Oryzias latipes: one gene and its partners. The protein of the gene in region 2 purifies or fractionates together with the protein of the main gene of each other region. This does not show direct contact. Links are inferred from orthologs where the notes say so. Each region holds a gene or a part of one and is shown on either strand. Other genes may lie near its edges. The genes, in order: nup50, ppp1cc, ruvbl2, actb, ppp1r12a, erbin and zinc finger FYVE domain-containing protein 16-like.

Region 1 (4,126 bases), on a different chromosome or scaffold from region 2:
CTGCGTTACCAAAGCCAGGGGCGGTGGGCTTGGTGGAGGCTGACGCAGAGAACGCAAAGCCCCTGAAGCCTTTGAAAGCTCCTCCCACATCAGCCTGGAGGTAGAAAAAAACAGAGTCAGATCCAGTTCAGAAGGACCGGCTCGTCAGGAGGCCCGGTTCTGACCTCTGAGCCCACATTTCTGCGTTTGGCCTTCTTGATGGGCCGACTCTTCAACACGTCCTCGCTGGCCAGGCAGAAGGTCCCGGCCTGCAGAAGAGCAGCGGCGGCGTTACAGACCAGAACATCCATCACCCTCCTCACCCCCCTCCTCCCCCACTCACCTCCTCCCCCTCCTCCTCCTGATCCCAGTTCCTGTCAGTCAGTTCTTTGTCCGCGATCCTTTTGGCCATCGCAGCAGCGTCAGAACACAAACGCCCGGGAGTCTGTGAAGGCAGCGCGGATGTTTGATCAGAATGCAGACCCTCGCACAATACCTGAATGTGGGCGGGGCTTCAGAGAAACTGACCCTGGGCTGACTATACTGCATCTTTGGTTTGGTTTGCATAACATTACAGATCTTTGGCACAGCGAGTAGCAGGCCAGGTACCAGGCCAGGAACCAGGCCAGGGACAGGTACCAGACCAGGTACCAGACAAGGAACCAGGCTAAGCAGGTATCAGGCCAGGAACAAGACCAGGGACCAGGTACCAGGCCAGGAACCAGGCCAGGGACAGGTACCAGACCAGGTACCAGACAAGGAACCAGGCTAAGCAGGTATCAGGCCAGGAACAAGACCAGGAACCAGGTACCAGACAAGGAACCAGGCTAAGCAGGTATCAGGCCAGGAACAAGACCAGGAACCAGGTACCAGACAAGGAACCAGGCTAAGCAGGTATCAGGCCAGGAACAAGACCAGGAACCAGGCCAGGGACCAGACCAGGTAACAGACAAGGAACCAGGCTAAGCAGGTTTCAGGCCAGGAACAAGACCAGGAACCAGGCCAGGGACCAGGTACCAGACAAGGAACCAGGCTAAGCAGGTATCAGGCCAGGAACAAGACCAGGAACCAGGCCAGGGACAGGTACCAGACCAAGTACCAGACAAGGAACCAGGCTAAGCAGGTATCAGGCCAGGAACAAGACCAGGGACCAGACCAGGTAACAGACAAGGAACCAGGCTAAGCAGATTTCAGGCCAGGAACCAGGCCAGGGACCAGGTACCAGACAAGGAACCACGCTAACCAGGTATCAGGCCAGGAACAAGACCAGGGACCAAGGAACCAGGCTAAGCAGGCATCAGGCCAGGAACCAGGTACCAGACAAGGAACCAGGCTAAGCAGGTATCAGACCAGGGACCAAGTTAAGCAGCTACCAGGCCAGGAACCAGGCCAGGGACCAGGTACTAGACCAGGTACCAGACAAGGAACCAGGCTAAGCAGGTATCAGACCAGGGACCAAGTTAAGCAGCCACCAGGCCAGGAAAAAGACCAGGAACCAGGCCAGGTACCAGACCAGGGACCAGGCCAGTGACCAGGTACCAGACAAGGGACCAGGTACCAGGCTAAGCAGGTATCAGGCCAGGAACAAGACCAGGAACCAGGCCAGGGACAGGTACCAGACCAAGTACCAGACAAGGAACCAGGCTAAGCAGGTATCAGGCCAGGAACAAGACCAGGGACCAGGTACCAGACCAGGTACCAGACCAAGTACCAGACAAGGAACCAGGCTAAGCAGGTATCAGGCCAGGAACAAGACCAGGAACCAGGCCAGGGACCAGGTACCAGACAAGGAACTAGGCTAAGCAGGTATCAGGCCAGGAACAAGACCAGGGACCAGGTACCAGACCAGGTACCAGACAAGGAACCAGGCTAAGCAGGTATCAGGCCAGGAACCAGGTACCAGACCAGGTACCAGGCCAGTGACCAGGTACCAGACCAGGGACCAGGCCAGGAACCAGACAAGGCCAGGAACAAGACCAGGGACCAGGTACCAGACCAGGTACCAGACAAGGAACCAGGTTAAGCAGATACCAGGCCAGGAAGAACCAAGTCAGGTACCACCACGCGGGCGGTCATATCAACAACCCAGTTTCGGACCAGAACATGAAAACGGATCTTCAGATAATCAGTCTACTCATGAGATCCGGTTTTCATTTTCCGACCGGATCATCCACCAGGTGGTTCTGCAACGGTCCAGATTCTGGAGCGACTTCCTGCTGAGCTTCGGGTTCGGTCCGAATCCTCACAGTCTGGCGGGTTTTGTGGTGTCACTATGGTAACAAAATCCGGGCGGTTCTTCTGTTCGGTTCCTCCGGTTGGATTGCCTCACTTCGCTTTGCCGCTGGCCGCTCCCGTTACTTTAACCGGTTACAGTTATAGAGGCAGGATATTTGGTTTACTCACCGTGCTGGTTACCTTTGGCCGAAGTCTCCAAACCGGACCGGAACCCGTTCCGTCGCTTAACCGTTTCCCGCTGAGAAGCTAACCGGGCCGCGCGACAGCTCCTGACGTCACGGCTAGCGCTCAGTGGCGGTCTTTGGTCTCGGTCACCCGAGACCCGAACTCTGTCTGTGAGCGACTTTCCGCCCGGTCTCGGTTCTACAGACCGACCAGAACCGCAGATTCTCGATCGCCTTCAAATCTTGACTCACTCAGTGATTTTGAAAAAGCTTCCTCACGCGGCCATTTTGCACAACGGTACATCCGCGTGGGTGCACGCGCCCCACCTCTCTGCTCATGCGCAGAGTAAAGAGCCTATAGCTGGGATTTGTAGTCGGGTAGAGTATTTATTTATCTCGTTTTTATCCTCCTGAGAACCGAGGAAAAAAAGTGTCTTCCAATTTTTGTTTTTGTGTGATTTCCTTTCTATTTGGGCTTAAAAAAACACCTTACAATTTTAATTTTTAAAAAAATATTTTTTATTTTAATTTCCCAACACGTCCACTGTAGAGGACAACAGGACAACATTTCTGTGAAAATAGAACTCGGGTAGGAAAATCAGAAAAAAGGAGCAGATTAAATCTTTAGAGTGATACTCACCCAAAAAACATTAAATTTTGTTCTAAAACAATAAAACTCTATATCACTTTATTGTTACTTGTTGGACCTTCTGCTACAGAGGAAGATCGACCGGTAAATTGAGAGCTTTGCTTTCTGGCTCAGCTCTCTCCTCACCACAACGGACGCTGCTCCGATCCACCTGTCAATCTCACGCTCCGGTCTTCCCCCGCTCATGGACAAGACCCCAAGATATTTAAACTTCTCCACCTGGGGCAGGGACACTCTACCCACCGAGAGACGGCAAACTACCTTTCTTCGGTTAAGAACCATGGCCTCAGATTTAGCGTTGCTGACCCTCATCCCAGCCGCTTCACACTCGGCCGCAATCCCCCCCCAATGCATGCTGGAGGTCCCGGTTCGATGAAGCCAACAGGACAACATCATCTGCAAAAAGCAGAGAGGAAATCCTGTGGTCTCCAAACCAGACCCCCTCCAGCCCCTGGCTGTGCCCTAGAAATTCTGTCCATAAAAACTATGAACAGAACCGGTGATAAAGAGCAGACCTGCCAGAGTCCAACATGCACCGGGAACAGGTTTGACTCACTGCCGGCTATGCGAACCAAGCTCTTGCTCCGGTCATGCAGAGACCGGACACCCCTCAGTAAGGCTCCCCGGACCCCATAATCCCAGACCACCCTCCACAGGATATGGGGGACGCGGTCGAACAGCTTCTCCAAATCCACATAACACATATGGACTGGATGAGTGAACTCCCGCAATCCCTCCAGCACCCTAGGTTAGGGTGTAGAGCTGCTCCACTGTTCCACGACCAGGACGGAAACCGAACTGTTGTTCCTGGATCTGAGGTTCGACTATGGGACGGACTCTCCTCCCCAGTACCCTGGCATAGACTTTCCCAGGGAGGCTGAGGAGTGTGATTCCCCGGTAGTTGGAACAAAACTAGATCAAAAACAGATCTTCAAAAATGTTATCAATGTACTGTGAAAAGTACAGGATTGAACTCCGGTATTCACAAACTTTGGGGTCATCTTGATAGGCAGGGCGCCCTGCTAGCACAGGTGTAAACCTGTTATGATGGACGTTTAAAAAAAACAAAAAAAAAAATCAAGTTAATTATAAAAACAAG
Region 2 (4,096 bases):
CAGGAATTTGGCCACCACCTCCGAGCCAAAGGTGAAAGACACCCCCCTGTCATTCTCCCCCCAGCCCAACACATCCTTGTCCGGATCAGACCAAAGCAAATCGCACAGCAGGCCCTGGTCGGGCACGTCAGTGGGGCGCATGATGCGCCTGATTTGCTCCATGGACTGAAGGTCGGGTGAAAGTCCTATATTTAATGACAAAACAAATCACATAAAGCAGCGGATTTGACACCATGTCCTATCACATGCAAGTGAGTCCAAGAAGTAGCTGACAAACTGCATAGGCAGCGTTTCACAATGACAAATGCTGACGTCAATGCTGCGCTACTTTCGACATTCAACTTTGCCACAGTGGGAACGTTGACATTATGTGTAAATATTGTTACAAACATGCAGGGTGTAACCATGCTGCTATGAATAAAACATAAAAACCCACCTCCATGACAGCAAAAGATCTTCTCATCAACAATTGCAGCGATAGGAAGGCAGTTAAAGCAATCGGTGAAAGTCTTCCAGAGTTTGATGTTGTACCTCCTTTTACCTAAAAAGTGACGACAGATGTCTTTGATTATGTAAGAAGGTGTTTTCTAATCCAACATGCAATTAAATGGCCATAAACATCTTTATCAGCCACAGCAACTATGTGTAAAGATCAGGGTTCAGCTGTGCATCAAGGTGCACGTGTCCAAAAGCCTCTCTAAAGTCAATATAAAACCACTCACACTCATCGTAGAAGCCATATATTCTGTTGATTGAAGCACACTCGTGGTTTCCCCTCAGCAGAAAAAAGTTTTCTGGATATTTTATTTTGTAGGCCAGCAGAAGACAGATTGTTTCCAGAGACTGCTTCCCCCTGTCCACGTAGTCACCCAGAAACAGGTAGTTGCTCTCTGGAGGGAAGCCCCCATACTCAAACAGCCTGAGCAGGTCGTAGTATTGCCCATGAATATCACCTGAATGATACAGAATACAGGAAACCAAACTGATGAACACACATTCATTCCTTTGTTAATTAGAAGCACCCCTCCAATCATCTTTTCCGGTTTGGGAAAATGTTCTGTGGTATTTTTAAATTATGATTAAGCCTTTTTTTAAAGCCAAAATCAAACAACCTGTGTTGTTTTCTAGAACATAGTTTCCGCAGGAGTTCATTCTAAATTTGCCTCTTGAGTTGTGGGCAATTCCGAGGATGCTTTCTGAATTGTGGAACTGTTGGTATAGAGTTAGCCCACCCCTACTTCCCATTATCTATGTGTTTACACATTCTCCCGCTAGCTCACAGTCACTCACAACCCCAACATAAAATAACAAAATGGCTAGCAATATTGCAGCTATCCACCATACAGTTTAGAGTCAAATACTAGCTCAGACACAGAAAACAAAGACGAACATAGATCTAGTTATTTGCAAGTGGATACGTTAAAAGAGCGGGGGAACTTGTTGCTTGCTGATGGTAGCACCTACGTCACAGCTACAAGCGTTTTCCAACTGCATTTTTCTTTCTGCTTCTACTATTTCAATAAGGAAATACTCAGAAATGCACATTTTAAGCTTAATTTTGTCAACATATGTCCTCCATCATTAGAAAAAGCCCACAAGAACATGTTAACACAACTTTCATCAGAGTGAGCAATTAAGCCTAATACAAACAAACAATACCACAAATCTTCAAAGGGGCCTCAAGCTCGAGGAGAATGGGTTGACTGAGAAAGATCTCCCTAGATTTGAGGCATAATCCACGGATCTCGTTCTCCTGCAGCTGCACATTCTTGCCGGGCTTTGCTCCTCTGACTGCAAGGAAAAAACACAAACAACAGTCAGGAAAAAAAAAAAAAAGTACAGTTCCTGTCAGGTCAGCAATGCCCTGCACAGTTTGTATTAAGACCGTGACAAAATCACTTAATGTTTAGCAAGCTCTGAATTCAAAATGCTCTTTTTAGTCATTTTATGGTCTTTTACAGCATCTATGGGTGTTGTGTCTTTGACGGTAAATGATACACAGATTTTTTTTTGTGATAACAAAAACACGTCGTACTTTAGTTTCACCAAACCTGAAATGAGATAACATTAAGCCAAAACAACATGAAATGATATGATGGTCTTTTTACAAATAGAAACAGACACTTAAATGACTACTATAAATAAGAACATCTGCAGAGCCTGAACATTACAATCCCGGGGTTGTGCGTTACAGACACCATTTACGCTTTACAACACGGTGATTATAATGCGCTTTTGTGCATTTTTGAAACACCAACAATCTCTGTAAAACAGAATTCAGCTAATTATAAAAAAATACGTATTTATCTTTATGTGTTATCGAGTGCGTAAAAAAAAACCGGCGTCGCTACGCTAGTTGTTTTTTTTTTGTCAGATGTGTAGCACAAACAACCATAAAAGCAAAAAAATGATAATTTCCTTACCTTCTAAAAGCCGTTGGATTATACTATCTATGTTGAGCTTGTCAACATCAGCCATTGCAAGCGCCTGCGTTAAAGTCGTCTCTGTCTAATCTAGATCTTTACGCTAACTCCTGTGAAAGCTAGCCTGCTAGTTACCGTAGAATTAGCTAGCTCGGCTGATTTTCCGGTTCAACCTCAGATATGTTAGTCGGACGCACGCGCGGGGGGGATGAATATATAATATTAAATCCTAATTAGGTTATTTGCACGTCGCAGACGTTAAAAATAATCCCATCCGGCGGCGGGTTTTGTTGAGCGTTCGGGACTTGAAGGAGGACGTCACGGGCTCTAGCTGTTAGCTGGTGATGGTGTCCCGTCTGTTATCTCCTCTGCCGCACCTTCGGAACATAGCTGCCGCGCTGCGTCTGCCCCCTACTGGACGGAACGGGGAACGCAGCGTGAAGGAGCGCGCCAACTTCTCAAAATAATGTTTCACCATTCTGTATAGAACCAACAAGACTTCATTTACTCGTTTCAAAAAGCAGTTTATGACAGCAAAATAAATCACATGTTTTGCTACAATATGGTAATTTGAGGTTTGACGTAATGATTTGCACATTTATACATTTTCTTTTACTCCATTTGAATGTTTATAATAAAAGGGCTTGTTTTACTTTGCTGTTGTACTATAGGTTGATGGAGTTTTTTTCCTCTTTACCCCCTAAAGTAAATAGACTATGTTGATTTTAAGAACTAAACAAGCTAATTTCTGGGATTGTTCTTCAGCTCTGGTTTCATTTTTGATAAAGTGAAAGCAACACATATCAAAATGCTTTAAGAAATATTTTTCTACTTTTATTAGCATCTCATAATAAAACCAGAACCAACTGTTTTTATGGATAGTTAGTGTCACGAATACTATCTATATTTATGTGGAAAGTTTAAATCAGAGATAAAAATGTTATGTAATTTTTTATGTTTATTTGGTCTTTTAAAGGTAATTGTTTTTTTTCCTTTAAACAATAATCAACATTAATAAAAAAAGACTGTGCTGAAGCCTCATGCTTATCAAAGGCCATCCAAAAAAAAAAAAAAAACCTACAATTTTTTGTTTTGTTTTTGTGATTCATTCCCTGACTCTTATGTGATCCAAATCTAAACATATAAGTATTATGTCGATTCATAATTTTGGAGCAAAATAAAAAAATGTATTTAGTAAATACAATAAATTAATAACTATGAGTAAGTTTCTCTTTTCAAATTCAATAGTATTCGGTTTGCTGTTTTAGAAAAAGATGCATCTTATCAGTATATAAATAATCAGTACAGATGCTTGACTGGGATTCATTGTCATTTTAGAGGTCTCTGTCCTTCCCTTTACGAGAAATAACCAGCAAGTCAGTTGAGGGCTTTATACATTTTCTGAAATATGATCCGCATAATTTGAATTTATAACTGTGAAGATATGAAAATATTGTTATAAAAGTACTTTGCCTATTCAAAAAAATATCTAGCAAGCTAGAAATAGCATGAATAATGTGGGGAAAAAATTAATGGTTAACAAAAGTCAGCGACTTCGGAAGCTTCAATTTAAAGGTTTTTGGCACAACTAACTTTAGGTTTGAATTCAAGCTTGACAGTTTAAAAAGGAAGAATGAAAACATTTCCTAGAAGAGTGTGCTTTAAAATGAAAC
Region 3 (3,580 bases), on a different chromosome or scaffold from region 2:
TTTCAGGTGAAACTCAAACACTTCTGAAGTTTTCCACTTGTGTTCAAAAGCTTTTTTTTATGAAAAAAAGTGCACATTAAACAAATAATTGTAATTCATAATCCATTTCAAAAGCCACACCATGCGAAACATAGATAAAAAAAAGAACAACTGTCATAAATTACATCATAATTCTAACCCACGTTTGCTAAGGTGCGTCATTGTACTCGGAAACACATGTAACCGTAAAGGTTTGGTCTCAGTGTTCAGACTAAAATCACAAATAAAACCTTGGAGAGAATTAGAAACCAATGAGACATTAAAAATACCGAGTATGACTACAAAAGTCCGTTTAATTGTTCAAAAATAACAAGCAGTGACAAATCAAAACAAAGAACAAACCACAGGAATGGGTTTCCTGGCTTAAAGGCCTCATTGATTAACACAGTTACGGTAAATCCACAATTTCTGTGATTTTATGACAAATTCCTGAATACAACACCAAATGAGTAGCAAACCAATGGAAACATGTAGGACTTTAATGAATTCATATTTCATCTCTACTTCAGGTAATCACTTGACTCAAAGTGGGGATTCAGTCCTAAACTGCTTGAATCTAGGAGAGAAGAAGCAGAGAAGCTGAGCTGTGTTTTCGTTATGAAGTATCCATGACGGCCGTTTCTGCAACACAAAAACACGCTCAATGTACTTTTCGTCCTTCAATATTTTAGGGAGAGTATAAAAGTTATCATTGCAAATGCAAAAAGGGGGCAGTTAAAGGCCCATTCTGATAAAATGTGTGTTCTTGTGGCATTCTTCTGATGATATAGAGGCTTAAATAAAGAAAATGAAGAATACAAATTGTATTTCTGATTACTTTTTTATTCAAATTGTTGTGAATCAGAAGGACATAAAAAAAAAAGAGCGTATCTGAGGTAGAAAATATGCTGAGCGAGAGACAAGCTCCCTGCTCTCAGCAACGGGACGGGAAGAGGGGGCGGAGTTGCTGCGCACCAACAGTCCCATCCACAACTCAAAGGTGAAATTCTAATGAGCTACTGCGAGCGACGCAGCAGAAACTATGTCTAGAGAACGACAGGTTTTTTGATTTTGGCAAAAAACAGCAACATCATAATTAAAAAGAACACTGGGATCGGAGTGGGACTTTGAGAAATTCAAAAGTGTTGAGATTTGGTTTTTGTTTTTAAACTTGAAACTTACGTGTTTCGTTAAAGAGGAAGGAATCCTGGTACTCCTTCATGTACTGAGAGGACCTGGCCTCATCCAGGAACAGAGAGTAAACGCGTTTGATGTCCTCCACCTGAACTTCTGTCCCCTGAAGCAGCACAAACAAAAAGATCCCTCCGTGATGAAAACAGTCACATGTTCTCATTTACCAAAACACCAGAAAACAGTGATGCTGAGAGCATCTTCTTGTAGTGGAGCTTACTTTGCGCTTGCGACACACCAGCCCTGCAGTGCTGATCAGCTGGATGGCGTAACGCAGCGACGTCTCCATGCCGATTCGAGTGAGCACCGTGTGCGCTTCCTCACTTAGCTCCACATCCTCCTCCTCACACCTGAAACACCGGGAAGTGGATGTGAGTGATGCTGAAAACAGGAGCAGGGTTCGGTGGCGGGAAGCAAACCCGCGCTCCCACCTGATCTTGAGGATCTGCCTGGTCTCTTTTTCGGTGTACGGGGACGTGGCGATGATGAGCAGCCGGTCCAGGAGGTCAATGGGGATGCCGTGAGGACTCTGATAGTTTGTGCCACGAATTCTGTGGGAAAACGTACGAAAATAAAACAAAGAATGTTTTTGTGGGGGGGAGAAAAAAAAAATCAAAGATTATAAAACAACTTTTAAATTTTAGAGCATTAGTTTTGAAGGACGCGTAAGCCATACACATCAAAGGAAACAGCTGAAGTGAATCAGCAGCATGAACAGTACCGAGTGATGCCTCTGTTGGTGGCCATGATGAGGACTGGAGACAGGTCGCTCTCCAGGGCTCGGTTCAGGAAGGAGAAGCACTCCATGTCCAGCATATGCACCTCGTCAATAAATAACACCTGGAGCCGCACGCATGCACACACAGTTACCCTCAACCAAACACAAAAAGGATCCCAAAATGCAGGCGGCGGCGTACCCCTGGAATGATCTCCGCCTTGCCTTCTTCCCTCCACTCACACACTTTGGCATTGATCTGCTCTCGGACTTCCGACTTGATTTCTCCGGTGTCTCCGGAGAACAGAGCCAGGAAGCCTTGTGTGCGGCTGTTGATGACGTCGATCTCATGGAGGGACACTGTGTGCACCACCTCCTTCCTCTTCTGCAGCTCTCCTTCAGGACACTGGACAAACTGAGTCTGCAAGCAGAGGAAATGGACAGCAGTTACAGCTGATGCGGTTTAAGGATCAGCTGACGGTTCTCAAGAGAAAATCACTAGATCATCTTTTACCCTCAATTGTAATTGATTAAATTCTTTAGTTTTTGTTTTGTTTTTTCAAATTAGTGTCAGTAAAACGCAAAACTGGCTGGAATATCAACACCAACAACAAATATAAAACAAATACCATTCTCGTAATGAAACCGCATTTAGTGAATTTTGAAATTTAAGTGCATCCCCTAAACATATTTGAAGATCCACTCTAATGAAAACCCTGTTTTTTTTGTTTTTTATTTTGTTCTTGGGAGATTTTTCTCTTGATGGAGGAAACTTATCAAGAAAATTACAATTCTGACTATTTCTTTATTCAAATTGTTGTGAACCAGGAGCAGATCCTGTTTGAAAATGTTCCCATTTATGACGTAGAAACTACAATCGGCAGTTACAGGCTCCCTGCTCCGCTCCATTCTGATGCATCCGCCTGCAGACAAAGAGATCCATGAATGTCTTTGTTTTCCTCGTCTGAGCTGGAATCTGGATCTAAACTGTACGGCTGGATAGAACTAACATTGCTCGCCATTTTTGTGGCAGCAGTAATGTTAGGTTGGGGTTGTGAGGGGCTGTAAGCTAGTGGGAGAGTGTAAAAACAGAGCTCTCAGCAACAGGGACGGGAAGGTTGTTTCGCGCCGACAAATCAGAGGCAAATGTCTAATGAACTCCTGCATTGGAAACTATGTCACAGCTTCAACCCCACCTGCTTTTGCAGAACAAGACGTCACTGCTCCCTGTGTTCCATCCCTCCACCTTATTACGCCGTGTCTGCTGTCAGATTTTGTTTAGTGTCCTTCTTTGAGTTGCAGTCATTGCTGTTTGCAAAGACAAACATCTGCTACTGACCAAGTTTGTGGTCCATTAAATCTTTTTATTTTTTATTATATATTACTCATTTGTGGTTCATTTGACAGAGTGAAACTTAAAGCTTAAATGACAGAATCCACGTTTTTTTTTTTCATTTCAAGTCTTCATTATTTGAGACACTTTTTCATTTGAGCAGAAAGGATTCTCGGGATAAACAATATTCAGATAAGTTTTATGCAAATCAATGTCATCATAACCCAAGATTTTGAGATTAACCAGTTCTGAAGTTACATTTTCAAGTACAGTGTTCCCTCATTTACCGCTGGGGTTACGTTCTAAAAATAACCCACGATAGG
Region 4 (4,289 bases), on a different chromosome or scaffold from region 2:
TTTAAAACTCTTACATAAAGAATTATTTACATACAACTCTCGAGAGAGAACTGTTTCACCCCACAAGCAGAAGCTTTTATTTCAGCGGGTTAATAAAACAAAACAAAAATGGACATTTAAAAGTTAGGTCTGCTGATCAGAAATGCAAGAATCTGCTAATTCAGAAGGAAATGAAGCATGTTTTGTTTGAAACTTGATTAAAAAGCTGAAACGTTTCCATGTATAAAGTGGAAATGTGTTGATGAAAATAAAGACCATTTAAAACTTAAAGCCACGAATGAATTGAAGGAAGAGGAGATGGCATTTAGCATAAAAGAATTGGTGTAACTGAGAGCGAGGAAGAGGAAGTGGTACAAGAGGAAGAAAAGTAGTTGCTGCTTGTGTCTCGCAGACAGTGACATGTTTAAATGGCCTCTGGGTTATTTAACTTGTATGGGCAGCTATGTTTCTGGAGCAAAAAAAGTTTAAATAAACTGTGAAACTAATGAATGGAAGACAAGTAAGGTAAAAGCAAAGAACCCTAAGCCTATAAAACCCAAAGTCAGGAAAGTTACACCCTTTGCAGTAAACCACAGAGAGGAAATAAGAGCATGTGTGACTTTATTTGTCTCTCTCTGAGTTTAATCGATTAAGGTGAATGTATAGTAGCGTATGGGTTGGGTCTGACAGTGGTTATTTTCACTCAATAGGTCATTTATGACTAAAAGTAGATGCAAGTCAGCCTTAGTGTCCTCTTATGTGGACCTTTTTTCTTCATTTGTAGGGGAAAGAGGAAGTAGCAAGAGCTCTGAGAAGTTAACAAGAATCCAGACTAATGCCATACATGGTCAATTGGTATTAGTGAGATTGAGTTTTTACCATTGCTTAGTGGGAAAAGTGGTTATTGTCCATCCTCTGACAGGGCACTTTTACAGTCCATAGTGTCTTTTGTGAGTCATGTGTTTGGCTTGGAGGGTCTCTGACTCCATCTGAGGTGGCATTCTGCTTTCCAGAGTGTGCAGCAACATCCACATTGTAATTGTCCTCAAATTGCATCAAACATATCTTGCATTTCCAGACTGAAATCTTGAGAGACAGGTTTTAAGAGGAAAAGTATTCACAGGGAGGAGCAGCCTGTGCTCTGCTGTTTGAATGATCAGATAAGCAGGGGGACTTGCTCGAAAGCTTTATACAGGTTCATATTTTATATATATTTGAAACTTTGTAAACTCTATATGTATTAATATTTGTTCAAGAAACATTATATCCTTAGATTAGGCCTCACATCAATCCCTATCCTTTTATTTTCCCCCAGCCCGTTACTGTTATCGCCTCCCTCTTTCTACGCTCAGTGCACCACAGCGTGCACCCGACGTGCCCCAGTGAGTGACGCTGGACCAATCACATGCCGCGATTCCGAAAGTTTACCTTTTATGGAAAGAGCCGGGCAACGGACGGACTATAAATACCACGTGCCCACGGCTAGCAAATTCACTCTGAGCGCCGTCACACACAGCTTGTGCGGGATATCATTCGCCTGAAACCGATTCCCTTGAAACGAAAAGCCCCCCACCCAAAGGTAAGATAGAGACGATATTTGGTTTAATTCAAATGTTTTGGAAACCTTACGATTGTTTAATTGTGCAGTTTAATTCTTAATTGGAGGTGACCATTAGCAGAATTTTGTGGCCACTAAATTTATTTTTAGGCCTGAAATGGTTAAACTTTTAATTATCTTTTTAAAATTGACAATTTTGTTTGTTTTGGCATCAATCAAGTTGTACCAAAATTAGCCACTTAAACGCACAGGTGCCAATTGATTGTAACCGGCAAATGGCTTTTCAGTTTGGTTTTAATTGTATATTTTATATAAGCAACTAAATAAAAATTACTATTCGTATCTTACATGGTGGGGGGAATTTTTCGAGTCCTTCTACGGACGTTACCCGTCCGAGTTGAGGGTGTCTGGATCCTGGCGGGTCCCTTTGTGCGCCGTTACGGGGTGTGACCTACTTTAGCATATTAGCCTAGCTTCATGCTAACACGCCCTTCTAGACTTGACTCTGATTCCTCACATGTAGGGGGGTGGGACTGTTATACATTTGTTTGTATAAAATGTAATAACCCTTAAAGCATTTTAAAAGTATTCGATTAAATTGAGCATGTAACTGTAGTTTGACGGCGAAGAAAAGGGCAAATGACAAATCATTCATTCAAGAAAAGGCGTGGCTTTCAGGAAATGATTAATCAGTCATGGGCTCGCACACGTTTTAATTTCCTTCTAAAGCTTGACGGGTCGTGGTGCTTTATGCCAGCAACGACTTCGCACAAATTATGACGCAGTGATTAAGAAATTTTTCAGTCTTGTGCAACAATGGGAGGGAACGCTGACAAAGTAGAGCTGTAATGAACCAGTGGGAGTAGGCTTTCGTCGCCGGGTCCGATAGTCTAAAGTCCCTCCCCTCTTGCTGTACTTTGGCCGCGTGCCTTGCCGGTAGCCGCAAAGCTGCTCAAAACCGAACTATGTCCTTATATGGTAACAAGAGAATGCAGCACCACTTCCTTTTGTCTGGGCTCGGAATGTAGCGCTCTACCTCCACCAAGCGGACACTTTGGGGAACTGCCGCTCCCTGACAGGAAATGGGACATCTGACTGCAAAGCAGATGCAGATGGGCGTGTCTTTGGTGTTAACGCCTTATTTGTTTGTTTTCCAGTTTAGCCATGGATGATGACATTGCCGCACTGGTTGTTGACAACGGATCTGGCATGTGCAAAGCCGGATTCGCTGGAGACGATGCCCCTCGTGCTGTCTTTCCCTCCATCGTTGGTCGCCCCAGGCACCAGGTTAGTTCCTAACTGTTTACCTTTATAATTTTTTACTATTTAATTTTAAAAGTTTCCAGATTTACTAAATGTAAATTTAAACTTTTTTTCAGGGTGTCATGGTGGGTATGGGCCAGAAAGACAGCTACGTAGGTGATGAAGCCCAGAGCAAGAGGGGTATCCTGACCCTGAAGTATCCCATTGAGCACGGTATTGTTACCAACTGGGATGACATGGAGAAGATCTGGCACCACACCTTCTACAATGAGCTGAGAATTGCCCCTGAGGAGCACCCTGTCCTGCTCACTGAAGCCCCCCTGAACCCCAAAGCCAACAGGGAGAAGATGACCCAGGTACCCGTTTACCTCACAGTGGAGCACATGTATACTCTTTTCACCTTGGTTTCCTTCTGTTCATACTTCCTCCATCCTCCTCTTCTAGGATTTCTTCCTATAAGATGAGCTTTCATCAAAAGGTCTATTGACAGTTTGCCTTGTATCTGCACTTGTGTTTTGAGGCTTAGAGTAACAGATCAGCACCTAAAAATGACATGCACAAGTGTGAAGGAATGTTTACCATGTACTAACTATAGATCGAGCCCCACTTTAATGCATGTAGCGAGTGGAGTGGTCGCATTGCTGCTTTGTAACATGCTAACATTGTGCTTTTTGTCTCTGCAGATCATGTTTGAGACCTTCAACAGCCCTGCCATGTACGTTGCCATCCAGGCTGTGCTGTCCCTGTATGCCTCTGGTCGTACCACTGGTATCGTCATGGACTCTGGTGATGGTGTGACCCACACAGTGCCCATCTACGAGGGCTACGCTCTGCCCCACGCCATCCTGCGTCTGGACTTGGCCGGCCGCGACCTTACAGACTACCTCATGAAGATCCTGACGGAGCGTGGCTACTCCTTCACCACCACAGCCGAGAGGGAAATTGTCCGTGACATCAAGGAGAAGCTGTGCTACGTCGCCCTGGACTTCGAGCAGGAGATGGGCACCGCTGCCTCCTCTTCCTCCCTGGAGAAGAGCTATGAGCTGCCTGACGGACAGGTCATCACCATTGGCAATGAGAGGTTCCGTTGCCCAGAGGCCCTCTTCCAGCCTTCCTTCCTTGGTAGGTACCTCAACCAAAGACTTGTGTACAGACCCCAGAGTGCCCCATGCTAATATTTAATCTCCTTCCAGGTATGGAGTCCTGCGGTATCCATGAGACCACCTACAACAGCATCATGAAGTGTGATGTTGATATCCGTAAGGATCTGTACGCCAACACTGTGCTGTCTGGAGGTACCACCATGTACCCTGGAATCGCAGACAGAATGCAGAAGGAGATCACAGCCCTGGCCCCATCCACCATGAAGATCAAGGTGAGCTTTCTGAAGAGTCTCCCGTCTGGATTGTTCCTTTGGGGAAAAGGGGCTCATTCTCAACTCTCCTCCTCTCCCTACAGATCATTGCCCCACCAGAGCGTAAATACTCTG
Region 5 (3,500 bases), on a different chromosome or scaffold from region 2:
TTTAACGGAGGCATTTCAAAAAATTAGGGGGGAAAAAAGCTTAAAGACCAAGCAGATACCGACTCAAAGATTCAATTAAAGCGTTTTAGTGGTGGGATTATGCAAGTTAACCTCTTCCCACTGCTTTTCAAGCAATTAATTGACTAATTTCACATTTAATGGGTTCAATGTGTCATATGCAGAAAATACTAAGGATTAGGAGTCTTTATGATGAGATCATGTGTGTGTATTAGTGCAGAGACAGATTTCTACTTTGCATCATTTTAGTGAATTATTTTATGCTTTACCATGAAGTGTGTATGTTGTTTTTTACACGTTTGTTGTGCAATGTCTTTCTTTTAGTTTTTAAAACTCAGTAATGTTTTTCTGTGAGCACTTTGAGTAACACGAGTTGGAAAAGTGCTGTAAAAATTCAGTGGATCTAGTTTCCAATCAAATCATAATTAATGTGCATCTCTTTTGTTTGATTTCCTTAGTACTTCCTGTTTCTGATTGCTTGAAATAAAGCAATTCCAAAAATTCTGAATGTAGAAATTAACCATCCACGGTTCCTTATTGACATTTCACTTTTTAACTTTTTAATGCTTTTAATTTTGCTTCAAGGAGGCCTAAATGAGGTAAGAATTATTGGGTTCAAAGTGAATGAAAATCAGATTGTAAATTTAAAAATGCAACTTGAAGTTTTAAAAGACATTTTAAACTCATAAGCAAACATTATAATCTTGAAATAAATATAAAACAATTGAAAAAAATGAAGTAAATGTTAAAAGAAAAATTTTTTAATTTGTAGAAATACTGAAGACCTGGTTTAAATATTAATATTACCAAAGAAATAAAAGATCTTCCAACAACGGCAGAAATGGCATCATCATAACCCCCCCCCCCCCCCCCCACAAAAAAAAGGCTGAATTGAAACTGTGAATTGAGGACTGAAAGCGAAAAGTGAGAGAAACAAAATAATATTTCAAAATACAAAACAGCAGCTGTTACAAGGAAACTTTTTTACATTTTGTAACAGTAAATTTAGAATTAGCAAACATTTCCTAAAAAGAGAAAGACTATTATTTGATTTTGACTGGAGCATTCGCTTGCATATTCATTGGCCAGCAGAGGGCAGCAAACTCCAGTCTATTTTTCAGCTACTCTTAATTTAGAACCTAATTTAATAAATAATATTAATTAATAATTCATTTATCCCACAACGGGAAATTGACCCCGTCCGCTGGGAGGAGCATGGTGAGCTGCAGCTAAACCACGCTCCGGAGGCAGTAGCGTCTTGCCCAACGACCCCCACTGGGTGGTGTTAATTGCTCGCCATTGGTAATTGCCTGCACCATTGTTTATTCCCCTCCAGGAATCGAACCCTGGATTCCTGCTCGGCAGCCTTCCACCTTACCAACCGAGCTACCCAGCCGCCAATTTATGGACCTCAATCATCCGGAAGTTACCTGAAGTCCCCTCCTCCTCCAATCGGGAGACAGTTTTGCTAAAACTGGGATTCTACAGACGTTTGTTTGGTCAACAGCAGAATAATAAAATGCGTCAACTTCATTTCAACGAGTTGGGTTGCCATAAGGACACAAGAACAAAAACGTTTGCAGTGATGAGGCAAAGATGCAAGGACAACACAACAGTCATAACAGGAAGTCCAGTTCTGACTTTAACAGGTCAAAGACCCGTATCAGATCTCGGCTTCACCGAGGTGAGCCACTTCCTCAAAGGGCTTTTCACAGCAAGCAGCTGTTGGGTTTTCTGTAAGCTTTTTAGAAGCAGGCGTGGAGGAAAAAAAAGCGTTCCAGCAGCTCGTACCTTCTTGGCGGGCGAAGTGGGAGTCGTCACCTGGTTGGTGGGACTCGATGGCGAGGACACGGTGATGCTGGCGGACGTGGGCGCCGTGCTGTTGCTCACCACCGCTGACGGCTTGTTCTTCTCTGGATGGGGAGAAGGACAAGAGAACAAGTGTCTTCCAACAGCAATGCTGGGATTCCCCTCAATATAATTAATAAGTGGTTTAATCCAGGGGGGTCTGCAACCTTCAACACCCAAACAGCCAATCGGTTTGATTTCTTGCTGACAAAGTCTTAGGTCACCCTTTATTAAAATAAAACACAGATTTGTATGTTAATGCTTATTTTATTACATTTGTGCGTTAATGGTACTATTATGATAAATATAAAACAACTTGCATTTTAGGCTAAATAAAAAAAGAGAAAGTTTTCTTGGTAAAAAAAAACTTTCGACAGAGGTTAATATGACATCTTTTCAAAATAAAAGACATCCGGTGCCACATAGGATCATCTCAATTCAGCAAATGTAGTAGTAGGTAGTGTGATGTCAGCAGCAATGACGGTTTACAGTTTGTGGTGCATCTCAGCCAGAAACTCATGTTACTAAATAAAAATAAATAAAAAGCGCAATAAAAGTCCTTGAATTTGTTCCAAAATAGAAAATTGTTTTTTATAATCTGCTGTGCTTTAGGTAGATTGTGCTTACTGATACTCAAAAATCTGTCAAAGTGTTTTAATGCCACTACGATTGATGAAGATTATGGCCCCCATAGTCAGGAACCTTGTTGGGTTACTTTACTATACTTGTATTACTTTACTACTTACTTTTTACTTCAAAATTACCTTTTAAACCTATTATTTTCTTTAACCAAAGAGTGAACTGGATCCGGAGCGTCAGGTTGCAGTATAATGAAGGACATTTTAGGACAGAAATACTAGGATGAAGAGGATGCTGTGGCTTAATTTATCCATAAAATGTTTTTTTTTATTGGTCTTAGACTGAAAGCAGACATCTTTGACTATGTTTCTGCACAAATCTAAAGTTTTCTTGATAGCAGTACATGTTTGGTTTCATTTGTCTCTTGTTTTGCCAAATTTTTTTCTTTCATGGTGCAGTTTTGGTCTTCCATACTGTTGGGCAAAACGTCCTACTTCTGTCGCTCTTGGGTTGCGTGTACGATTCTGTGCTTTTATTCTTTACAAATAAAAGAATACCTGGCTCTGTCTCGGACTCTGAATCTTCATCCTCCTCCTCTTCACTGGAGCAGCTCGATTCGTCCTTCTTCCCCTCTTCCTCCTCGTCCACTTTCTCCGGCTCCAGGGTCTCGATGCACGGAGCGCTTTTCTCCGGCTCCAGCAGCAGCGTTTCCTTGCTATGGAACACATTAGCGCGCGTTAGCACGTTGCAGCCAAAGCTAAACGTTTCCGCTCCTCCGCCGCTCCCTTGGCTACCTCTTTAGTGGTTTCAGCGATTGGTTGTTGTCCCCTGTTGTGGTCGTTTCAATCAAAGGAGATTTCTTCACGTCTTTCTTCTCGCTCATCAGCTGGAATCACAGAACGGCAAGATATTTTCAAACAAATCTTGTCGTTTGATTAAAATACTGAAGAGCACTGACTCACAAGAGTCTGCTTCTTTTGTAGTTCTTCCAAGTATCCCAGAATATCTTCATCTGCCACATCAAAAGCAGTTTGGCCCTGAAGGGAAGGAAGACA
Region 6 (3,500 bases), on a different chromosome or scaffold from region 2:
AGAAATGCTGGCAGCAGAGCTAATGCGCTGACCCAGATTCAGTATAAGCAGGTGGACTGGATGGAAAAAAAAAGGAACATTTTGATCACATATCATCAGAATAATTACAGCAGATTGATTAAGACAGATATTTTTGGAATGATTTATTGACAGAGTTCAAGCAATTTTGAAAAACAAAGGGAGATAAAAGACAACAATAAAACTACATCGATATATCAAATCCTTTTTCAGATATTAATTAATAAATTGATCTTGACATAAAAATGATCATGATATAATTGTTCTAAATCATATATAGACATATTTGCACTTAATCCATCCATCCATTATTTTAATCAGCTTTATCACTTTTGTGGTTGGGGAACCCGTCCCAGCTACTGTTGGGCGAAGACGGGGTGTATAAATATATTTAGAATCCCACCTCTATTTTGATCTGTCTAGCCTTTTTCTGCTGTTATTTGGTTGCCATAAACCATTTAACATGTGTTAGAAGTTAATAAAGACCTACTCCAAAGAAAATTGAGTTTTTAACCTGTGCTTGCACATTTTTCTAACATTGGAGGACATATTTAAAGAAAATTAAGCCTAAAATTGCATTTTAGGTAGCTGCTGCTACCTTTTGCTGTGGCTGGCTGTATTTGAAACGCCAACTTGTCATCCAGAGATCCTTTTTCGCTGTTCCGACCAAAAGCCTGAGCAGACTATACACTCAACTGCCCTTTGGGCCAGGTTTTTATTCCGTTCACCTTTTGGATCCAGTTACCTCTACAGCATTGGATGGCGAGCTACCCACTGAACTGCACTGTGGGGTTGTGGAACTTAAATCCACCACTGAACTCTGGCAAAATTAATAACCATACGTCATTCTGGAACTCTAAACAAGAGAAAACAGTTTATCTTGGAAGTTGAACAATAACTGGACTCAACAAAGGGTCTATTTATTTCTTTATTTCAATTTTTTAATACAATCGTTTGTATGTTTTTTACCCAGTGTCTGGCGGCGTGTCCGTTCACACACACCTCTGACTCCTCGAGACTCTTCTGTGTAGTCAAAGCGCCTAGCCTTAGTTTATTTCTATATTCAAACTGTTGTTAATCAGGAGCAGACATAAAAATAAAAAAAAAGCTGTTTGAAAAATAGCGTATTAGAGACGAGGTAAATATGCCGGTTGGGCCACAAGTTCCTTGCTCTAAACTCTTGGCAAAAGGGAGAGGAAGGGGGGGCGGGGTTACAAGACTCCCGCCCACAACTCCGAAATGAATTTCTAAAGAACTCCTGCCGCTCTGCAGAAACGATGTCCTAGAAAACGACACAGGATTTGGGCTGGGAACCCTTTTAAATAGATCATGATTGAAGTGGGTCTTCAATACATTTTCAGTTCAAGTGCAGATTATCTATCAAACAACAAAGATAACGTTCTTGTTCGTTATTATCAAAACATATTACAAATCATATCAATATGCTTATTGATTATCATCAATTTTAAATTTTATTTTAAAAGACTGTTGTTTGTTTTGATGAAGACTGAGGAAAACAAAGTAATGAGAGGTCAAAGAAAATGACCTGAAGATGATTTATTTGAGTCCCTGAAAGTAGGAAAGAGCGTAAATCTCACCGCAGGTAAAACCGTCAGCTTGTTCCCGTCCATCCACAGTTCCTTGATTCCAGACAGGTGCTCCAACACCTCAGGCTAAAAGGCACAGAGGAGACAGAGAGCGCTGAGCGGGGCAACTAACCAAGAGGCTTCGCAAGAAAAAACAAATCTTTTCAACATTCAGGAGAGGAAAAGTAAGCACATTAAAGAGGGATGACAGAAGGTCACCTCAGGAGAGGTGCAGCGCTCTGGGCAGGCGTCCAGATACTCACCACTTCAGTGAACTCATTACTCCCCAGGTCCAGCCTCTCCAGCTGCGTGAGCTTCTGCATGCTCCTGCAGAAACACGAGCAGAAACAGACTTAGAAAAACAAAAAATGAACTTGAGCAACCTGCATTTAAAAAGAATGGAAAACCTTTGGAGAACGATAATGTTTCCCTACTGTGGGGGCGAAAAGCTATGAAAAACAGGCCAGGACAAATCAAGAAAGCCTGTCAGGTTCCATACGTGAACCTCCGGATCCTTCCAGAAAGCATGGATGCACAACATAAATTAATTTGGAGCTGAAGGGTGAGAGAGGGATGCTTTAAATAATGGAATTTTTCAGAATTTTCTCAACATATTTAGGCCACAGGCTCAAAGTTCTCCTCCTTTGGTTTCAGCGGGTTTTTACTGTCAACTTCCCGGGTAACCGAGGACCAAAATCTCAGCTGGGCGACCCAATAGTGAAGGCATGGCACGAGGCGTTGAGCCGCTCTTTCTGACAAACCAGAGATTGACTCAATCCCTGGAGCTGGTTTTTTTATGCCGTCCCTCGTAAAATAATAATAAAAAAAACATCTAAATAGGATTTACAACCTTCTGTGATTTGGAGTAAAAAGTTGGGCGAGAATCAGCCACGCTGGCACGCCGAGAAAGAAAGTGAATTTACCAGAAACCGAACTCCAAGGCATCTGACCTCAAGCTGCGGGGAAAACGGCGGTTCTCTTTAGTCTATGCAACCGCTGCGGGTATGTCTATGTGCTGGGACAAAGAGGGCTTTCCATACGGAGGGCCCTGAAAAGATTTGCCGCACTCCTTTTGTGCGCACACACATTTGTTTACATCTCGGGGATGCTTGTGTGTTGCTCTGGCAACCTTCCCGACCATTAGTCCATCTTTTTGTCAGGGCTCCAGCTTTTAACGGGTCTGGCTTGTGTCACATAAACACGGCGGCAGACGAAAGGGAAATCTTTGAGGGCTCGCTGCCTTCTCAGCGGCAGAAGGAGGGAAATGAAGAAGACGAGGCGAGGACAGCGCGGTTTTAAAGACCCACTCTGATTAAAATTATGTTTTTGTTGTTTTTAACATGTCCTTGTAGCATTTGTCGGCTGATGGAAGACATATTATGAAGAAAATAGAGCAGGAAAAGTCGCACTTCAGGGGGAAATTTATTTTAAAAATACAGGAACCGACATTTCATCTTGAAAGGCAAATCATAATAACAGAAAAGATGACAATTATACACTGCATATGGTAAATGGCAAATACATCTATAGCACTTTTCTACCTTTCTCGAGCGCTGGAACTAACCATCCACCAGATGCAAGGTGGGGGTTCAGCGTCTTGCTCAAGGACACTTCGGCATATGGACGAGCAAGGTGGGAATCGAGCCTGCAACGTTCCTACCGGGGGGGGGGGGTAAGAGCATTGCTACTGCTACTCTGCAAAAACTAAGTCCTGGACAATGACGGGTTTTTGGATTTTGCCTAAAAATGGCAAAATAGTAATGAAAAGACCAGTGGGAAGGGTTTAAAAAATAGATCAAAAGATGCTCGGAGTGGGTCTTTAAAGAGGCATTGAGAGAAGGCATTTGCATCAATGGAAGAACAGAAAAATAAAACCTTCTATAAAAGCACCTGAAG
Region 7 (3,500 bases), on a different chromosome or scaffold from region 2:
CCAAAAAGGCAAAGCCTGAAGACCGACAGTGAGACGGTTACGACGGCTTCACCGGGAAACGACGGGAAAACAGTTTTTAGATGTCCTCACAGTTTCAGAGCAAAAATCCTTCATTTCAGCCTCTTTGAAGCATTTTGTCTCTTTTGAAAGGATGATGCAGAACTCAGGTTCTCATGAAGAACAGACGGCAGAACAGGAGGGTTTCATCAAAGCTTTTATTTCCTTAAATACACATTCAGGCCGCCAAAATAAAGCTGGTGTTAAAAATAAATAGAAATAACGCTTTGAAAACAATCACAGAGCATCAAAGAAGTTCTCATTCTGGAGATCGAGAAGAAAGCTGGATCTGAATTTACATCCAAGAAGGGGTTCCGCTGGACCAAAGTGACAAAAAAAAAGGTTCTAACCTGCAGGATTGACATTAAAACCCGACGACTGACCTCCAAGAGCCGCTCTTCAAGTGTCAGGGCCTGAGGAGAACCTTCCCCCGCTAAGTAGAACCTCCATCAGCTGAGGGGAGAACCGCCAACAGCTTCTGTTCAAAGCACTGCATGATGGGGAAAGCTGTTGGTTACTTTGAAGGAATCGAGCTTTGTGGTGGAACGTTTTGTAGGACAGAGTTTCTTCTGAGTTCAACTCAGCTGTTGCTCTGGTGTGACGTGGTCACGTGACCTCAGTCACACTGAACGTTAGTCAATTCCAGAACAGGTTCTCCGCCTCCGTCTTCTGTAGGTTCTCGTATTTTAGTTTTCCTTCAGGACAATTTTGCTGACGTTCCCCTCGGCACAGACTCAAAGGAACGGTTCTTTATTTGAGTCATTCGGGTTGAACCATCGGGTTCCACGATGCACCGGTCCAGCTTCAGCTGTTTTTCCAAAAACAGAAGTTACGGTGAAGACAAGAACCGGACGGAGCTGAACCCAGAGGAAAAGCTGACACCGATGAAAACAGCCTGGAGTCGTTCTGTCGGACCCCCAGCTCCAGTCCACAATAAACAGACGGGTTCCGGTTCTGCCCGTCTGCTGGTCGCCACACAGAACGTAAGACGCCGAGGCTTTGACAAAAATGGCTGCAGAGTTTTGTGAAAAGAAACTAGAAAAGCTGGAAGAATGTTTTCTCTGCTGATGAAGTTGATGGTTTAATTCCCCTCAAAGTGAGAGGCTGCAGCTCAAAGCGGGTCCAACCAGAACCTCAAAGGAACCAGCGGATCTCTGTCATGACCTCACCGACCCCTATCAAAAATATCAGCTTTTATCCACGTCTATAGTTTCAAAAATAACTCTTCAATATATGTATTTATTCAAAAAAAAACACAGAAACTTTGACACAATCACTGGAGCCCCGCCCCCCTCCCTATCGCCCCCCTCCCTATCGCCCTGTTCAGACTCGAACCAGAGTTTATCGACCGCCAGACGCTCCAGAGGGGCCCGCCAAGCGTCAGAGGTTTAGCTCCGCCTTCAAAACCTGGGATTGGTTGGCTACAGTGGCCTGTTCAGGCTCCGCCCACACATCAGCTGGGCCCTGTTTTCACATTTTCACTGGAAACGTCCAGAACGGTCTGTTCTCGTGCTTCCAGAAAACAAGAGCGTTTGATTCCTGATGAAAGGCGGGAAAGCCGGAGGCCTTGACGGGTTTTGAACGTGTAAACTGTCTTTCATTCACAGACTTCACCAAAGTTGGATTTTTGGTTGGAGAAGAAGAAACACTGAAAGACAATTATGGATTTTGTAGTGTTTGCAGCATCACAGCGAAGCTCTGTCTCCCCTGTTTTCATGCTTTTAGGAGCTGACAGGAGGAAGAGGAGGAAGAGGAAGAAGAGGAGGCGCTGGTGTTCTGGACTCTGCTTTGAAGGACGGAAAATGACTTAAAAACGCATAAATACATGAATAAATCACATTTCCATCTGGAACTTCTTAAATACATTTCAGTTCTTTAAATCTTAAAAATCACCTGAATATGTAAATGAGGTGGGTGGAGCCATCCTCTGGATAATTTGCATATAATAAGGAACAGAGATAAGTACTTGAGAGAAAAGGTGTATTTTTCTGTAGTACAATTGTACTGGGATTTTTGAACATCTTTGTGTTTCCAGGTGAATTAAATCATTTAATTCTCTACGTTTGCTGAGTTTTGTGTGGATGGTGCCAAACAGAACCTCTGAACATGTTAAATGACGGATCAACTGGTGTGGATAAAAACTGGGTTTGTGGTTTTAAAACGATCCGTCTGCTCCTGGATTTATGGGTTTTTTATACTCGTCTCCACTTTGCCGCCATTTCTGGACTGGAGCTGCGATTCTCGTTTCCGATTGTTCATGGAACACAGACGGAGCGAACGGCGGCGGTTTTAGGGCCCTGGTTTACAAAAAAGAAAAAACAAACAGTTTTACAGTAAGATGTCTGCGGGAAACCTGAGCAGACACCAGACTGGACCGGACCGGACCATGGACTGAAAGCACTTGGTCTTTTGCAGAGTCAGTTTCAGGAAGCGGCAGTTTCTCTGCTGTCGCTCCATTCAGAATGAATGAATACATCCATGTGGGGAGGACGCTCCTCCTTGTGGGAGGACGCTCCTCCTTGTGGGAGGACGCTCCTCCTTGTGGGAGGTGCTCCTCCTTGTGGGAGGTGCTCCTCCTTGTGGGAGGGGCTCCTCCTTGTGGGAGGGGGCTCCTCTTGGGAGTGTTTGCGGAAACATTCAGCAGCTCCGGCGGAGCCATGAAGGCAGAGGTCGCTACAAGTTGAAGTGTTTTTACTTTGGTCAGCTCCACAAAAACACTTTCATGACTGCAGACATGCAGACCGGAGCCCACAGCAGCTGCCGGGGCTCCACCCGTCTGCGGCCCCACCTTCTTTGTTTCATAACGCTGCAGCTGCCTCAGATGGCGTGAGTCACAAAGAAGACGAACTCCATGTCCATGGCAGTCTGGGGAACGCTGGCTCCGCCTCCATGGATGACGGGGATCAGAGCGCTGTCCATCTCGTTCATGTAGCGCTGGGGGAGGAGCCTGCCTCCGGAACCTGCCTGGTACTCCACCTAAGAGCCAAACCCCACAAAGACAGCATCAGGCTTCACGGATCCTCCAAGACGTTTCCTGCCGCAGGTTTTGATCCAAAGCAGAGTTTGTTTCATCGGCAGGTGGGAAAGTTCACCTGAACTCTGGTTGGGACCAACCAGGAGAACCGGGGTCTGTGTTCTCCTGGTACGGTTCACTTCAGTGTGAATGCAGACGGACCACAGAGAGGACGTAAAGATGTCTCCCAGAGGGAAAACCCAAAACCCGACCACTCCACTGCAACATCATGGTGTCAGCAGCTGTAACGGCTCCACTGGTTTTTGTTAAAGTGATGCTTCAGAGTAACCAAGGAGAGAAAAGAAATCTCCCAGGTTCCCTTGCAGCATCTGCAAACGACACCTTCAACTGTGAGAACTGAAGGTTCTGGAGCCACAATCCGGTTCAAAAGAGGAACTTTCTCGTTTATTATTTGCTTTGTTTGGAACGA

The links.
Region 1: the proteins of ppp1cc (region 2) and nup50 purify together in Homo sapiens (affinity purification with mass spectrometry; 3 studies listed by BioGRID and IntAct, with this or other methods). This does not show direct contact. The link is inferred for Oryzias latipes from reciprocal best matches to the Homo sapiens genes PPP1CC and NUP50.
Region 3: the proteins of ppp1cc (region 2) and ruvbl2 purify together in Homo sapiens (affinity purification with mass spectrometry; 3 studies listed by BioGRID and IntAct, with this or other methods). This does not show direct contact. The link is inferred for Oryzias latipes from reciprocal best matches to the Homo sapiens genes PPP1CC and RUVBL2.
Region 4: the proteins of ppp1cc (region 2) and actb purify together in Homo sapiens (affinity purification with mass spectrometry; 3 studies listed by BioGRID and IntAct, with this or other methods). This does not show direct contact. The link is inferred for Oryzias latipes from reciprocal best matches to the Homo sapiens genes PPP1CC and ACTB.
Region 5: the proteins of ppp1cc (region 2) and ppp1r12a purify together in Homo sapiens (affinity purification with western blotting; 3 studies listed by BioGRID, with this or other methods). This does not show direct contact. The link is inferred for Oryzias latipes from reciprocal best matches to the Homo sapiens genes PPP1CC and PPP1R12A.
Region 6: the proteins of ppp1cc (region 2) and erbin purify together in Homo sapiens (affinity purification with mass spectrometry; 6 studies listed by BioGRID and IntAct, counting the BioPlex papers as one, with this or other methods). This does not show direct contact. The link is inferred for Oryzias latipes from reciprocal best matches to the Homo sapiens genes PPP1CC and ERBIN.
Region 7: the proteins of ppp1cc (region 2) and zinc finger FYVE domain-containing protein 16-like purify together in Homo sapiens (affinity purification with mass spectrometry; 3 studies listed by BioGRID and IntAct, counting the BioPlex papers as one, with this or other methods). This does not show direct contact. The link is inferred for Oryzias latipes from reciprocal best matches to the Homo sapiens genes PPP1CC and ZFYVE16.

Annotation. Positions count from the first base shown.
Region 1 is NC_019881.2:23,772,923-23,777,048, forward strand, and holds the start of nup50 (nuclear pore complex protein Nup50), read right to left. Parts: upstream 2,801-4,126; 5' UTR 2,395-2,800; exon of another isoform or gene 905-2,394; intron 846-904; exon of another isoform or gene 425-845; 5' UTR 392-424; coding exon 323-391; intron 249-322; coding exon 165-248; intron 95-164; coding exon 1-94. UniProt on the Homo sapiens protein: Component of the nuclear pore complex that has a direct role in nuclear protein import. Actively displaces NLSs from importin-alpha, and facilitates disassembly of the importin-alpha:beta-cargo complex and importin recycling.
Region 2 is NC_019867.2:25,505,867-25,509,962, forward strand, and holds the start of ppp1cc (serine/threonine-protein phosphatase PP1-gamma catalytic subunit), read right to left. Parts: upstream 2,801-4,096; 5' UTR 2,479-2,800; coding exon 2,424-2,478; intron 1,792-2,423; coding exon 1,660-1,791; intron 954-1,659; coding exon 723-953; intron 542-722; coding exon 437-541; intron 186-436; coding exon 1-185. UniProt on the Homo sapiens protein: Protein phosphatase that associates with over 200 regulatory proteins to form highly specific holoenzymes which dephosphorylate hundreds of biological targets.
Region 3 is NC_019872.2:21,687,052-21,690,631, forward strand, and holds the end of ruvbl2 (ruvB-like 2), read right to left. Parts: intron 2,346-3,580; coding exon 2,127-2,345; intron 2,050-2,126; coding exon 1,931-2,049; intron 1,761-1,930; coding exon 1,641-1,760; intron 1,560-1,640; coding exon 1,430-1,559; intron 1,316-1,429; coding exon 1,201-1,315; intron 661-1,200; coding exon 635-660; 3' UTR 501-634; downstream 1-500. UniProt on the Homo sapiens protein: Possesses single-stranded DNA-stimulated ATPase and ATP-dependent DNA helicase (5' to 3') activity; hexamerization is thought to be critical for ATP hydrolysis and adjacent subunits in the ring-like structure contribute to the ATPase activity.
Region 4 is NC_019866.2:19,166,587-19,170,875, forward strand, and holds the start of actb (actin, cytoplasmic 1), read left to right. Parts: upstream 1-1,489; 5' UTR 1,490-1,558; intron 1,559-2,694; 5' UTR 2,695-2,701; coding exon 2,702-2,824; intron 2,825-2,916; coding exon 2,917-3,156; intron 3,157-3,483; coding exon 3,484-3,922; intron 3,923-3,993; coding exon 3,994-4,175; intron 4,176-4,258; coding exon 4,259-4,289. UniProt on the Homo sapiens protein: Actin is a highly conserved protein that polymerizes to produce filaments that form cross-linked networks in the cytoplasm of cells.
Region 5 is NC_019881.2:19,284,020-19,287,519, reverse strand, and holds part of ppp1r12a (protein phosphatase 1 regulatory subunit 12A), read right to left. Parts: intron 3,483-3,500; coding exon 3,408-3,482; intron 3,332-3,407; coding exon 3,240-3,331; intron 3,161-3,239; coding exon 3,003-3,160; intron 1,932-3,002; coding exon 1,810-1,931; intron 1-1,809. UniProt on the Homo sapiens protein: Key regulator of protein phosphatase 1C (PPP1C). Mediates binding to myosin. As part of the PPP1C complex, involved in dephosphorylation of PLK1. Capable of inhibiting HIF1AN-dependent suppression of HIF1A activity.
Region 6 is NC_019870.2:4,453,781-4,457,280, forward strand, and holds part of erbin (erbin), read right to left. Parts: intron 1,932-3,500; coding exon 1,868-1,931; intron 1,692-1,867; coding exon 1,617-1,691; intron 1-1,616. UniProt on the Homo sapiens protein: Acts as an adapter for the receptor ERBB2, in epithelia. By binding the unphosphorylated 'Tyr-1248' of receptor ERBB2, it may contribute to stabilize this unphosphorylated state.
Region 7 is NC_019870.2:1,728,565-1,732,064, reverse strand, and holds the end of zinc finger FYVE domain-containing protein 16-like, read right to left. Parts: intron 3,034-3,500; coding exon 2,875-3,033; 3' UTR 199-2,874; downstream 1-198.